Linked DNA regions of Arabidopsis thaliana. The protein of the gene in region 1 purifies or fractionates together with the protein of each later gene. This does not show direct contact. Each region holds a gene or a part of one and is shown in the gene's direction. Other genes may lie near its edges.

Evidence for each region.
Region 2: the proteins of BI1 (region 1) and HAP6 purify together in Arabidopsis thaliana (affinity purification with western blotting, with the first as the bait; one study listed by BioGRID). This does not show direct contact.
Region 3: the proteins of BI1 (region 1) and PHB2 purify together in Arabidopsis thaliana (affinity purification with western blotting, with the first as the bait; one study listed by BioGRID). This does not show direct contact.

What each region holds. Positions count from the first base shown.
Region 1 is NC_003076.8:19,134,185-19,137,937, forward strand, and holds the start of BI1 (BAX inhibitor 1), read left to right. Parts: upstream 1-1,767; 5' UTR 1,768-1,886; coding exon 1,887-2,000; intron 2,001-2,397; coding exon 2,398-2,541; intron 2,542-2,639; coding exon 2,640-2,731; intron 2,732-2,831; coding exon 2,832-3,018; intron 3,019-3,110; coding exon 3,111-3,266; intron 3,267-3,350; coding exon 3,351-3,401; 3' UTR 3,402-3,753. Other genes in the region: LIL3:2 (Chlorophyll A-B binding family protein), read right to left, coding at 34-287, 374-511, 670-1,054. UniProt on the Arabidopsis thaliana protein: Suppressor of apoptosis. Modulator of endoplasmic reticulum stress-mediated programmed cell death. Involved in methyl jasmonate-induced leaf senescence through regulating cytoplasmic calcium level.
Region 2 is NC_003075.7:11,276,351-11,280,103, forward strand, and holds the start of HAP6 (ribophorin II (RPN2) family protein), read left to right. Parts: upstream 1-2,078; 5' UTR 2,079-2,188; intron 2,189-2,280; exon of another isoform or gene 2,281-2,293; 5' UTR 2,294-2,295; coding exon 2,296-2,441; intron 2,442-2,576; coding exon 2,577-2,769; intron 2,770-2,848; coding exon 2,849-2,938; intron 2,939-3,178; coding exon 3,179-3,241; intron 3,242-3,449; coding exon 3,450-3,519; intron 3,520-3,669; coding exon 3,670-3,734; intron 3,735-3,753. Other genes in the region: AT4G21140 (copper ion-binding protein), read right to left, coding at 1,141-1,872.
Region 3 is NC_003070.9:979,965-983,717, reverse strand, and holds the start of PHB2 (prohibitin 2), read left to right. Parts: upstream 1-1,715; 5' UTR 1,716-1,945; exon of another isoform or gene 1,946-2,155; intron 2,156-2,557; 5' UTR 2,558-2,560; coding exon 2,561-2,731; exon of another isoform or gene 2,732-2,823; coding exon 2,824-2,940; intron 2,941-3,362; coding exon 3,363-3,533; intron 3,534-3,614; coding exon 3,615-3,753. Other genes in the region: FLA9 (FASCICLIN-like arabinoogalactan 9), read left to right, coding at 350-1,093. UniProt on the Arabidopsis thaliana protein: Prohibitin probably acts as a holdase/unfoldase for the stabilization of newly synthesized mitochondrial proteins.

The sequences.
Region 1 (3,753 bases):
AAAAAAGGAAAATGAAAGATTGTAAGAACTTGTTCACTTCTTTGAAGAAACTGTTGATGAATCTGGCTCTTTCCATGCAGCTTGCCATTGTTTGTCATATAACGTAGTCTCATCGAACAGATCCTTAAGTTTGTCTAAATCTTCATTCTTACGGATGAAGAGAACTCCAGCTACAGCCACAAACAAGAGTGTTTTGCAGAAGAAATTTCCCATTTGATCAACAAGTCCTACTCCGGTAAGACTATCAACAAAGTAAGCCATGAAGAACCCTATCATCGCAGCACGACCTACACCACCAAGACAACAACTTAGATGCACAAAATGTTAAGTGTACTATATCTAAGTGTTAGATCATAAGTGTTTTGAAAATCACCATTGAGAAGTTCAGCTTCAGGTAGATGGTATCTCTTCATCCATGCCCACCATGGAATAATCGAAGTATCGAAGACAACAAGCTCGTCGTTACTCGTTGTTTCCGGGTTATCTTCAAGCCATTTTCTCCTCTTTGCCTCTATAAAAATACATAATCAACACATTTACACAACAAACACTCCTCTTCTTACACACCACTATAAGAAACCAAAGCAGAATCTTCCTAATAACAAAGCATAGACATATATCAAGTATTCAAAGAATCTGTACTGAACTGAAGTTTTAAAAGGATCTAACCAGAAACGATAACAGAATCCCAATCAGTTTTGCCATCTTTCTCGAACTGTTTCAGATCCCAAGTTCCATTAACCCACTTCGCATTCTGATATTTGATTACCGTCTCAGTACTCGAATCAGTCGCTTCACCTCCAACGGCGCCGTTTTCAGAAGCGGAGGAGCTTTCGGCTGGAGATTTAACTGGAACTTCCTCTACAGCCACAGAAGCAGGCTTCGGAATCTCCACGACGGGGGAAGTCGTACCATTGTCGGAGGAAGCTCTAGGGACGGAGATTAGAGAGAAACGCTTGGTGGAGAGAAGAGAGGTTGAGATCTTGGGGATGAGATTAGGGTTCTGAAGTGAGGAAGAGATCGGCGGAGAGAATAACGCCATGGATATAGACATTTTTTTGTTAAGATCTCTCTCTCTCTCTCTCTCTCTCTTTGTCTCTCTCGATCTCCTCTGCTCTGAGTTTTTTTTTTTTTTGCAGAGTTAGTTTGAATGTGTGGTTTGAAATGAGCTATGAAGGAAGTGAAAGAGATGTTGTTATCGTTAGAAACTTGGATTGTATGTCGTTTTCCTTTTTTAATTCAGTTTAAGGAAGAAACTACGTGATGTTTTCTGTAAGCAAAAATAGAAAGATAAACGAGACTGTTAATGGGCTTTGCGATCAGCCCATATAGAACTAGAATTCAAAACCTGACATTTAACCATACTCTCGACCCATGATTTACGAATTGACTAGACGATATGAAAATGTCCTTGGTCTTTTCTTTATTAGTTTGTTAAACTTTTGATGCAACTGAAAATAATAGAGAAAGATTATAGAAAAGTCTTTGTAAATTAATAAATACTGTTATCCAAAATACTTTATCACAAAACTAAAACAAATTTATTCCTAAGCTTAAACAATAATATGTAAACTAAGTGAAAAATCCACGTGGATGATTCTTATTGGTTAGATGACGATTTAGATATTTCATTTGCTTCGCGGCAAAGTTTCAACTCATTACGACGACGACGATCTCAACGTTCAAGAAGTTTCCAGAACTACCCTTCTCCGTGTTTAATGCCCCTACACGTGTAGCGAATGCGTAATAACTACACATAAGCAGTAAGGGTATTATTGTCAATTTAGTCCCCAATCATAAGGCCCATTATAAATAACGAAAGTCTTTATTTTCTAACTAATATTTTCATTAATCGATTCTCAAAGTCAAGCAAAAAAAACGAAACAATGGATGCGTTCTCTTCCTTCTTCGATTCTCAACCTGGTAGCAGAAGCTGGAGCTATGATTCTCTTAAAAACTTCCGTCAGATTTCTCCAGCCGTTCAGAATCATCTTAAACGGGTAAGTTTCTTCGCCGCCGATGTCTATTCATATCACACACCAAACCGCGATGTCTAGATTAGAGTCGATAGATTGAGATTCGTTTCGTTTTCGTGCTATTGATCGCTCTATGTTTCTATATTTCATCTAATTTCTATGATTTGGTTTCCGTTGAACGAATCGTTGCGATCGTACTTTATCTAGGGTTTCTAATTGGGTCTTTCCATGATTTAGTTTGTTGATACTTACTTGATTATGATTCTGTGGAGATCTTTCGTTATACTTTACTCTGCTTATTATTGTTAAGATCCTCTTGTTCATTTGTCATGTTCCATTTGCAGAAGGGAATGTGATTTGTATACTCACTCATGTTACAAATGCTCATTGGTTCTTATTATTTGTGGTGGAATCTTTGTAGGTTTATTTGACCTTATGTTGTGCTCTTGTGGCGTCTGCCTTTGGAGCTTACCTCCATGTGCTCTGGAATATCGGCGGTATTCTTACAACGATTGGATGTATTGGAACTATGATTTGGCTCCTTTCATGTCCTCCTTATGAACACGTACGTGGGCTCGATTTACCCAACCCAATAGTGAATTGGCTGCTTTCTTATTGTACTAAAGTTTCGTTTTCCTGACATTGTTGTTTGTTTTGATGCAGCAAAAAAGGCTTTCTCTTCTGTTTGTGTCTGCTGTTCTTGAAGGTGCTTCTGTTGGCCCCTTGATCAAAGTGGCAATTGATGTTGACCCAAGGTGTGTTATGGTTATGCAATTTGATTCTTGTTGTTCAATGTTAATTTTCTGTTAGACTATTCTAGGAGCTGACCTTTATATCTTTCTTTTGGTTCTCCAGCATCCTTATCACTGCATTTGTTGGAACTGCGATAGCGTTTGTCTGTTTCTCAGCAGCAGCAATGTTAGCAAGACGCAGGGAGTATCTCTACCTTGGAGGACTGCTTTCATCTGGCTTGTCTATGCTAATGTGGCTCCAGTTTGCCTCTTCAATCTTTGGTGGCTCTGCATCTATCTTTAAGTTTGAGGTAAACCGAATGCCTCTGTTTTAGAATGATCTGTTCTTTGTCTTACTTTCTCAGACATCTCACCATTGTTATGAATACGTCTCTGGTTGCAGTTGTACTTTGGACTTTTGATCTTTGTGGGATACATGGTGGTGGACACACAAGAGATTATAGAAAAGGCACACCTCGGTGACATGGACTATGTAAAACATTCGTTGACCCTTTTCACTGACTTTGTAGCTGTGTTTGTTCGGATTCTCATCATAATGGTAAGTTCATTTGTCGCTGGTATAAGAAAATGGTACACTTTATTTGTTAGTAAACCGTCATTGACGGACTCTTTTGTTATGCAGTTGAAGAACTCAGCAGATAAAGAAGAGAAGAAGAAGAAAAGGAGAAACTGAGGGGATGTAAAGTAAATTTAACTTTATGGTTGTTATCGTGTGTGGCCACTTTGAAGATATTACTTGTTAGCACTCTCTATTGGTGACCAGACATGTTTCCACTAAAAAGGATCTGCTTGTTTCACTTCTGCACAAGTACCATCTTCAGATTGTAAATGACTCGAGTGTTGTTCTTCTTTTCATAAACTTTTGTTCTTTAAGAGTTTGGTTCTACTGATTGCATCTTACCAAGCTAAGAATAATGTAGGAAAATGATAATCCTGTTTAAATTTTCTAAAATGTGTGCATTTCAGATTCTCACAGTTGCAACATTTGCTATTGCTTGGAAGTTGTAATCGAAAAATAACTTGCA
Region 2 (3,753 bases), on another chromosome or scaffold:
ATTTTTGACATGGAAGGGAAGAAAGAGAACATATAGAGGCTCTAATTAAACAAAATCGGAAAGTCCCATTCCTGCTTTATGCTTAAAAGTCTTGTTTTATTGATCAAACAACATATACAATCTGATCTTTACGCATAGAGGAACTTTGTTTTAGTGGTATTCAAAAGATCCTAAAGAATACTAGAATTGATAAAAATTTGTGGTTTAAGAACTCAGATACACAAACTTGATTATTTTACCAGAGATTTGGACTCAATAGGTCTACAAAAATAGCTAGTGAACTAAGGAAACATAGAAGCCAAGAGGTCCCTAGATGAAGTCTAATGACTACGATTCTCTCTAGACTAGCTACCTCAGCTTTCAAACTATGATGATCCTTGGAGAATCGTGGTCTTTGTAGCTTTAGGACTCTTGCCATTGCACTCTACTGGACCGGGTAACAAGATGCAGAAAATGATATGGAGAGCTTGAAGAAAATACCCAGAAACTATGCATTTGAATGAAGAAGCACAAGCAGATGCAGGACATCCTTTCCTACATAACATTCTGCTGAACTTCCAACACAAAGCTCACAGAGGACAAACCTCAACTCCCATATTGATTAAACAGTTGTAATCTTGGTGCAGAACTGTAGATTCCAAGATAGTCTGCAGTTCTTATCTAGGAATATGGTTTTGGTAAGGATAAAAAGTTATACCAAGTTTGAGCTGATCATGACCCAGTGGCCTTCCTAAAGGTTAGAATATATGAAGAGACAAATCCTAAATGTATGAGTGTACAGTGTTCATACACATAATACTGAAAAATGAAGATTTGAAAGAAGTATGCAAACAGGCAAACACGATCAAGGAAAGAGATACAAAAGAGGTTTAACAAGATTCCATTTACATCCTAGACAACTTCACCTCTCAGAAGGCCGATATGAAACAATATAAAGTAGAAAAAGATTAAACTTTCAAGCTTCAACTAATATTCTATCATATAGTAGCAACTGCCAGTGACCATTTTATTTCAAGTAGATCACAAAAATAAAGACAAATGTCTCAAAGTTATATCCATTGATCGAAATCCAATCAACACAACTAATAAAACAAGAGAAAACCAATGACGCAAAGACAAATTCCTCTAACCTTAACAAGATCATCTCAACTTCTCTTTACCAGAGCTCTTCCTAGCCGCAGCATTCATAATCCTCTCCAAATACCCTTCAATAGGTGGAGTAAGCGTAGCCGTACCTCGACTCACCGGAAACGGAGTCAAATCACGCACTAAAGCCGCCTTCTTCAAATTCTCCGGCAATGCCTCAACCGCAGCGTTCCTCATCTTCATCAAACTAATCTCCGCTACACGTCTCGCTCTATGCTCTCTCATAAGCACTCTACTATACTCTTTCGCAAGTCTAATCCCATCCTCCACTGTAACCTTATACTTTGGTAACTCATCTTCCGTAAAAATCCCTAACGAAATGTAATCCAATCCTGGAGTCCCAATCCTCATCGGCGCAGTAGTAACTCCCATCGTAAAGGATCCACCTTTCTTCTGAAAATCAATCTCTTTTTGCCTCGCTTTACTGATTAGCCCTAGCTTCTCTCGTCTCGCTTCTCGCTCTCTTTCCTTAGGTCTCAGGTAACGAACAGGACAAGGAGCGTTTATGCATTGATCTGAGATTCTTCCTTTTCCCTTATCCACCTCATCACCACCTCTGCCACCGCCGTTTCCACCGCCTTTTTTGATTGTGAGTTTGTTGCGTTTCAATGATTGGCCTGTCTTCAGCTTCGATTTTCCTTTGGGGGTTCCACTAGCGTAACATTTCTGGAGAAGATTGTAACTCACTGAGTCAATTATAGGTTTTGGTCTCGCGAATCTGATCATTTTCAGATTCTGATTTCCTCAGAGCTCTCTCTGTTTGAAATGAAAATGGTGATTGAAGTTGATCTGCAAGGTTTAGGGTTTCAAGGTACGCCGTCGTTTCATGAAGTGTAATTTAAGTTCAAATCGAGGGTAAATCGGTAATATCAGGTAGTGTCATCAAACTCACACTCATTTTTTAGCCTTCTCTCTGGTTCGTCGTCTGGTTCAAAAGCTATAGATCGATCCTAGGCTTACCTCAAACCTCAGTCTCCGTTGACTACTGAGACTCGTCGACCTCTGATCCGCTTCTTCGACTATACGGATCTACTTCCGATCTGTAAGAAGCTTAAATCTTCGGTTGATTTTGGAATCCATCCGTCGTAGATGTGTAATTGTATTGATTTGGATGAGTTTATCTGTTTTTTTGAGTTTTCTTATGCAGTGATGATGGCCGGAGGTAACGTACGGTTTCTGGTTTTGATACTCGCCGTAGCAATTTGCGGTGCTGCTTCTGTTTTCCAGCCGATCTCAGACTCTCACCGATCTGCGGCTCTGGATGTCTTCGTACCAGTCGATGGATCATACAAAAGGTTGGTTTCTCTATCTTAAGTCGGCATTGCTTTGATGTAGGGGTTTTAACCACATTTCACCGATTACATATTGGTTGCTCGTTAATGTTCATGAATGGTTTTTGTACGGACTAATCTGATTTTTATTACTATCAGCTTGGAGGAGGCATATGAAGCATTAAAGACTTTGGAGATTCTTGGAATTGATAAAAAGTCTGATCTTAGCTCAAAGACTTGTGAGAATGTGGTTAAAGTTCTTCAGTCGTCTTCTTCTACTCTTAAGGATGCATTTTATGCGTTAAACGTTAATGGGATTCTAAAATGTAAAATTGGTGAAGCTGGTCCTAAGGTAAACAATTGTCTCCTCTCAGTATCATAATTTTAACTATTAAGCGGCTAAAATAACCTTATCTTTTCCTCTTTTGAAGGACATTGTTTCTCAACTTCAAGCTGGTGTTAAAGATGCGAAGCTATTGCTTGATTTCTATTATTCTGTCAGAGGCTTGGTGCTGGCTAAGGTAAATACGAGTTAAAACTTTTGGTGGACATCTTGAGTGAGATTGACTACACCCTTTTTCCATAGAGTATTTCTAGGAGAGTTTTCTTAGTTTTTCGTGCATTATGTTGAAGTATGAAAATGTTTTGGCAGAAGGTACCTGTGATCGTGATTATTTTATTTTATTCAACTCCATAGCTTTGGCTTCCTGACTTTTCTTTTTCCTGGCTTCAAGTTTGACCTCACTGTTCCATGAATGCAGGAGCAATTTCCTGGAACTCATATAAGTCTTGGAGATGCCGAAGCCATTTTCCGTTCCATCAAGGTTTGAACTTGTTTAGCTGACCTTCAATTTTGTTGTTGTTGAACTATCAGATGTGACATTCATACACTGTCTTTTTGGACTATCAATTATAGACTCTGGTAGAAGTATATATATATTTTCGATATGTTACCAAAACTCAGTTACTATATTAATACTACTTAGATTGTTTTCCGGGTATTATTTGGCTGATATAGTGCATTTGTATCAGTCTCTTAGCCAGAGTGATGGAAGATGGCGCTACAGCTCCAACAATCCCGAATCAAGCACTTTTGCTGCTGGTTAGTAGTACATATTGGATTAACCCTTACCTAACGTTAATGATGAGCCTTTTAGATTATGTATCCCTTCCTTTCTTGCTTCAGCTTGTTCACTTCTTTTGCTCTTTGTTATTTCACTCATTCTTCTCAACATGCGATTTTTTTTCTCAGGCTTAGCCTATGAAACGCTTGCTGGAGTGATTTCATTAGCACCTTCAGAGTTTGATCCATCTTTGGTAAGTGAGATGTTTAATC
Region 3 (3,753 bases), on another chromosome or scaffold:
TTATGTAAATTATTGACTCTCTCGATCCCATTACATGTGATGTGGGCTCTACCTACGGTTCCACCAACCTCATATTCTAATCTAATATTTTTCTCATATGCTAATTTTAAATACTAAACGAATCTTAACGGCTGATATATTCGTATATGAATTCATCTACACAACATTTATGTTAATGATATATCTCTAGTCTAGACATTATTTGTCTACAAACGTTTTGTATTGACTTGGCCATCTCATTCCAACAAGATACAACTCATCACTCCAAACATTCAACTTCCATATAAACCATTCCCTTCCGATCTCACTTTCCAAATCACTCTTCACACTTTAACTAAGCAAACCAATAATGGCTACCACTCGTCTAACTCTAGCTCCTCTCCTCCTCATCGCAGCCGTACTACTCGCAACCAAGGCAACGGCTCAGCCGGCAGCCCCCGCTCCAGAGCCTGCTGGTCCCATCAACCTCACTGCGATCCTCGAAAAAGGTGGTCAATTCACTACTTTCATCCATCTTCTAAACATCACTCAAGTCGGTAGTCAAGTGAACATTCAAGTCAATAGTTCATCCGAAGGTATGACGGTGTTCGCACCAACAGACAATGCTTTTCAAAACCTTAAACCCGGAACCCTAAACCAGTTAAGCCCTGACGATCAAGTTAAACTCATTCTCTACCACGTTAGCCCCAAATATTACAGTATGGATGATCTCCTCTCCGTGAGTAACCCGGTTAGGACTCAAGCTTCTGGCCGAGACAACGGTGTTTACGGGCTTAACTTCACCGGCCAAACAAACCAAATCAATGTCTCTACTGGTTATGTGGAGACACGTATTAGCAATTCGTTGAGGCAACAACGTCCTCTCGCAGTTTATGTTGTCGACATGGTTTTGTTGCCCGGTGAGATGTTCGGAGAGCACAAGCTTTCGCCGATTGCTCCTGCCCCTAAATCTAAATCCGGTGGGGTTACCGATGACTCCGGCTCCACTAAGAAGGCAGCGTCACCGTCGGATAAGTCAGGCTCCGGTGAGAAGAAAGTCGGACTAGGGTTTGGTCTTGGACTTATTGTCTTATGTTTGAAATTTCTCTTTTGAAAATTTAATAGCAAAGATTTGTTTTGCTTTCTATTGATTTTATCCTGCGATGTGAGGTATAAATATGAAATTTGTTGATTAAGTTCCGTGAAATAAAATGTGAGATTTTTAATAACATACGTCGTCTATAGTTGTCAATTGTGCCTGTCGAAGTGGATAACTCTTTTCTTGGCGAACCCAAAACAACAAATTTGTGATGTGAACAAAATATTTTGTTAACTTAATTACTAAAGTACGTATACAATTGATGAGATGCTTATTTGTTTTCTGTTTTAATTGCAAGTTCCATTCACGACATTTTAACTCTAGCTACGTGAAAAATGGATCGAAGGATCGGTAGCCGATCCGAAAAACTAGCCATCACATGCGATTACTAGACATAGATTAGTAGTATTATTTAATTCTGACCAGCAGTATAGATAGTATTCATAATAATAAAGTGTTCAGATAATCGTTTTACTGTAACACGCTTTAAAATAAACATGATAATAACTACCCAGTTGCCATTAAATTATAATTCATCGTCCTTAGCCCATGTGATAATGGGCTTAGTGAAACATATTTTAAAATAATGGGCCTGAGCAATGTCTTTAAAATTTGTCAAACACTTGAGGACGGAAAACAAAAACATAACTAAATGCCTAAAATGGGCCTCTCGAAAAAGATAATGTGTTTAATGAACCATATTTGAAAGTAATGGGCCTAAGCAAATAGGCACGAACATACTAGAAGGTAGTTTGCCAATGCATATCTGACCGATTTCTCATTTCTAAAACCCTAAGCTTCGCCGGCAGCTCCGATCGTGATCTTTCATAAATCCTACCATCGCCGTCGATTAAGAGCTGAGCTCAGGTTTATCTATCTGCTTTTTCCTCCCAGTTTTCACTGTGTTTCGTTGTATGCTCTGTTTGGTTGTCGATAGTCACACAGTGCCTGATCGTCGGTCAATTTGCTAATCCTTGTGTGATTTAGAGTTGGAATGATCATTTGGTGAAATCTCGTGGATCTTTTCTTGTTGAAAGCTTGTTGACTTGCTCGTCATATATATTCGACGATCTATGGGTACTGTATCTAGTTGATAATGTTCAAAGGCTTGATCGATTTTAGCCTTGGGATCTGCTACCGATGCTTTCAATTTCTGACGCTTTTCTATGCGATCTTTTCGAATTCGTTTTTCTCTCCAGTTTTTGCCATGTCAATTGATTCTCTTAGTAACACTACTTCTTTGTTTGCTCTCTTGGATTTTTTGTTTCTTCTGAAATGGAGGCTTGTGCATTGATTGTTCTATGTGTGTGATTTCTTATGCGGTGTTAAGTCCTTTGGATCTTCGTATAATGATGTTTTTAATCTGCTGACAAACGAATTTATCCCTGCGGCGTTTTAGTTTGCTACATATAAAGTTCTTAGCTGTGAACTGTTTCTCCTGGGTATCTCATTGCGGTTTGAATTCTGTTTTGCTATCAGGAAATGAGTTTCAACAAAGTTCCCAACATTCCTGGAGCTCCTGCTCTCTCTGCCCTTCTTAAGGTCAGCGTTATTGGTGGGCTCGGTGTCTATGCCCTTACTAATAGTCTCTACAATGTCGATGGAGGACACCGTGCTGTCATGTTCAACCGATTAACTGGTATCAAGGAAAAGGTTTGTATTTCTCAAACTAACAAGATGTACTTTTATATCTGAGGCTTTGAATTCTAAGAAAGCGTTACTTTTACTTGGATTTGTGTTTTCAGGTGTACCCAGAAGGCACACATTTTATGGTGCCATGGTTTGAAAGGCCAATCATCTATGACGTTCGTGCACGACCTTACCTTGTAGAGAGCACCACTGGTAGTCATGATCTTCAGATGGTGCGTTTTGGTTTCTTCTTCTTTTGGCTTCTTTTCTGTGTGTGTTTGTACAATATTTAGCCCAGGGATTTAATTTTAAATGATGTTACTGAATGTGGTGCTATATAGATCATACTAGATATTCCTTCTTTTGACGTTATGTTAAGACCCTTCAATGCAGCATTAAGAGCATGTTTTAGAAAATTTTGGGTGTGGTTTGAGGTTATGGAGCTGTAGATTAAATATCACTTACTCTTTTAGGATATTACACGATCAATGTTGATCCTTATATGAACTGTGTGAGTGTATGGATAAGTGGAAAAACAAGAGACAAGTTACACTTGCTTTCAGTAGACTTAGGTAGAGCAAGAAAGAACTTAGTCTCCATTTTCTTTCTTAAAGGAGTTGCTGTGTTTCTGATATTTTTCTTGGGTGTTGCACAGGTGAAAATTGGATTAAGGGTTCTCACACGTCCCATGGGTGACCGTTTGCCTCAGATTTACCGAACCCTTGGCGAGAACTACAGCGAAAGGGTTCTTCCTTCCATCATCCATGAAACCCTAAAAGCAGTGGTAGCTCAGTACAATGCAAGCCAGCTCATTACCCAGAGAGAAGTACGTATCTCAACATTCTTTTTCTACAACTTTTCTGCTCTTTTGTTTCTAATGGTGGACTCTGTTTACTCTCTCCTCTAGGCTGTGAGCAGAGAGATACGCAAGATTCTGACAGAGCGGGCTTCTAACTTTGACATTGCTCTTGATGATGTCTCCATCACGACTCTGACATTCGGCAAAGAGTTCACCGCAGCTATCGAGGCAAAACAAGTTGCTGCTC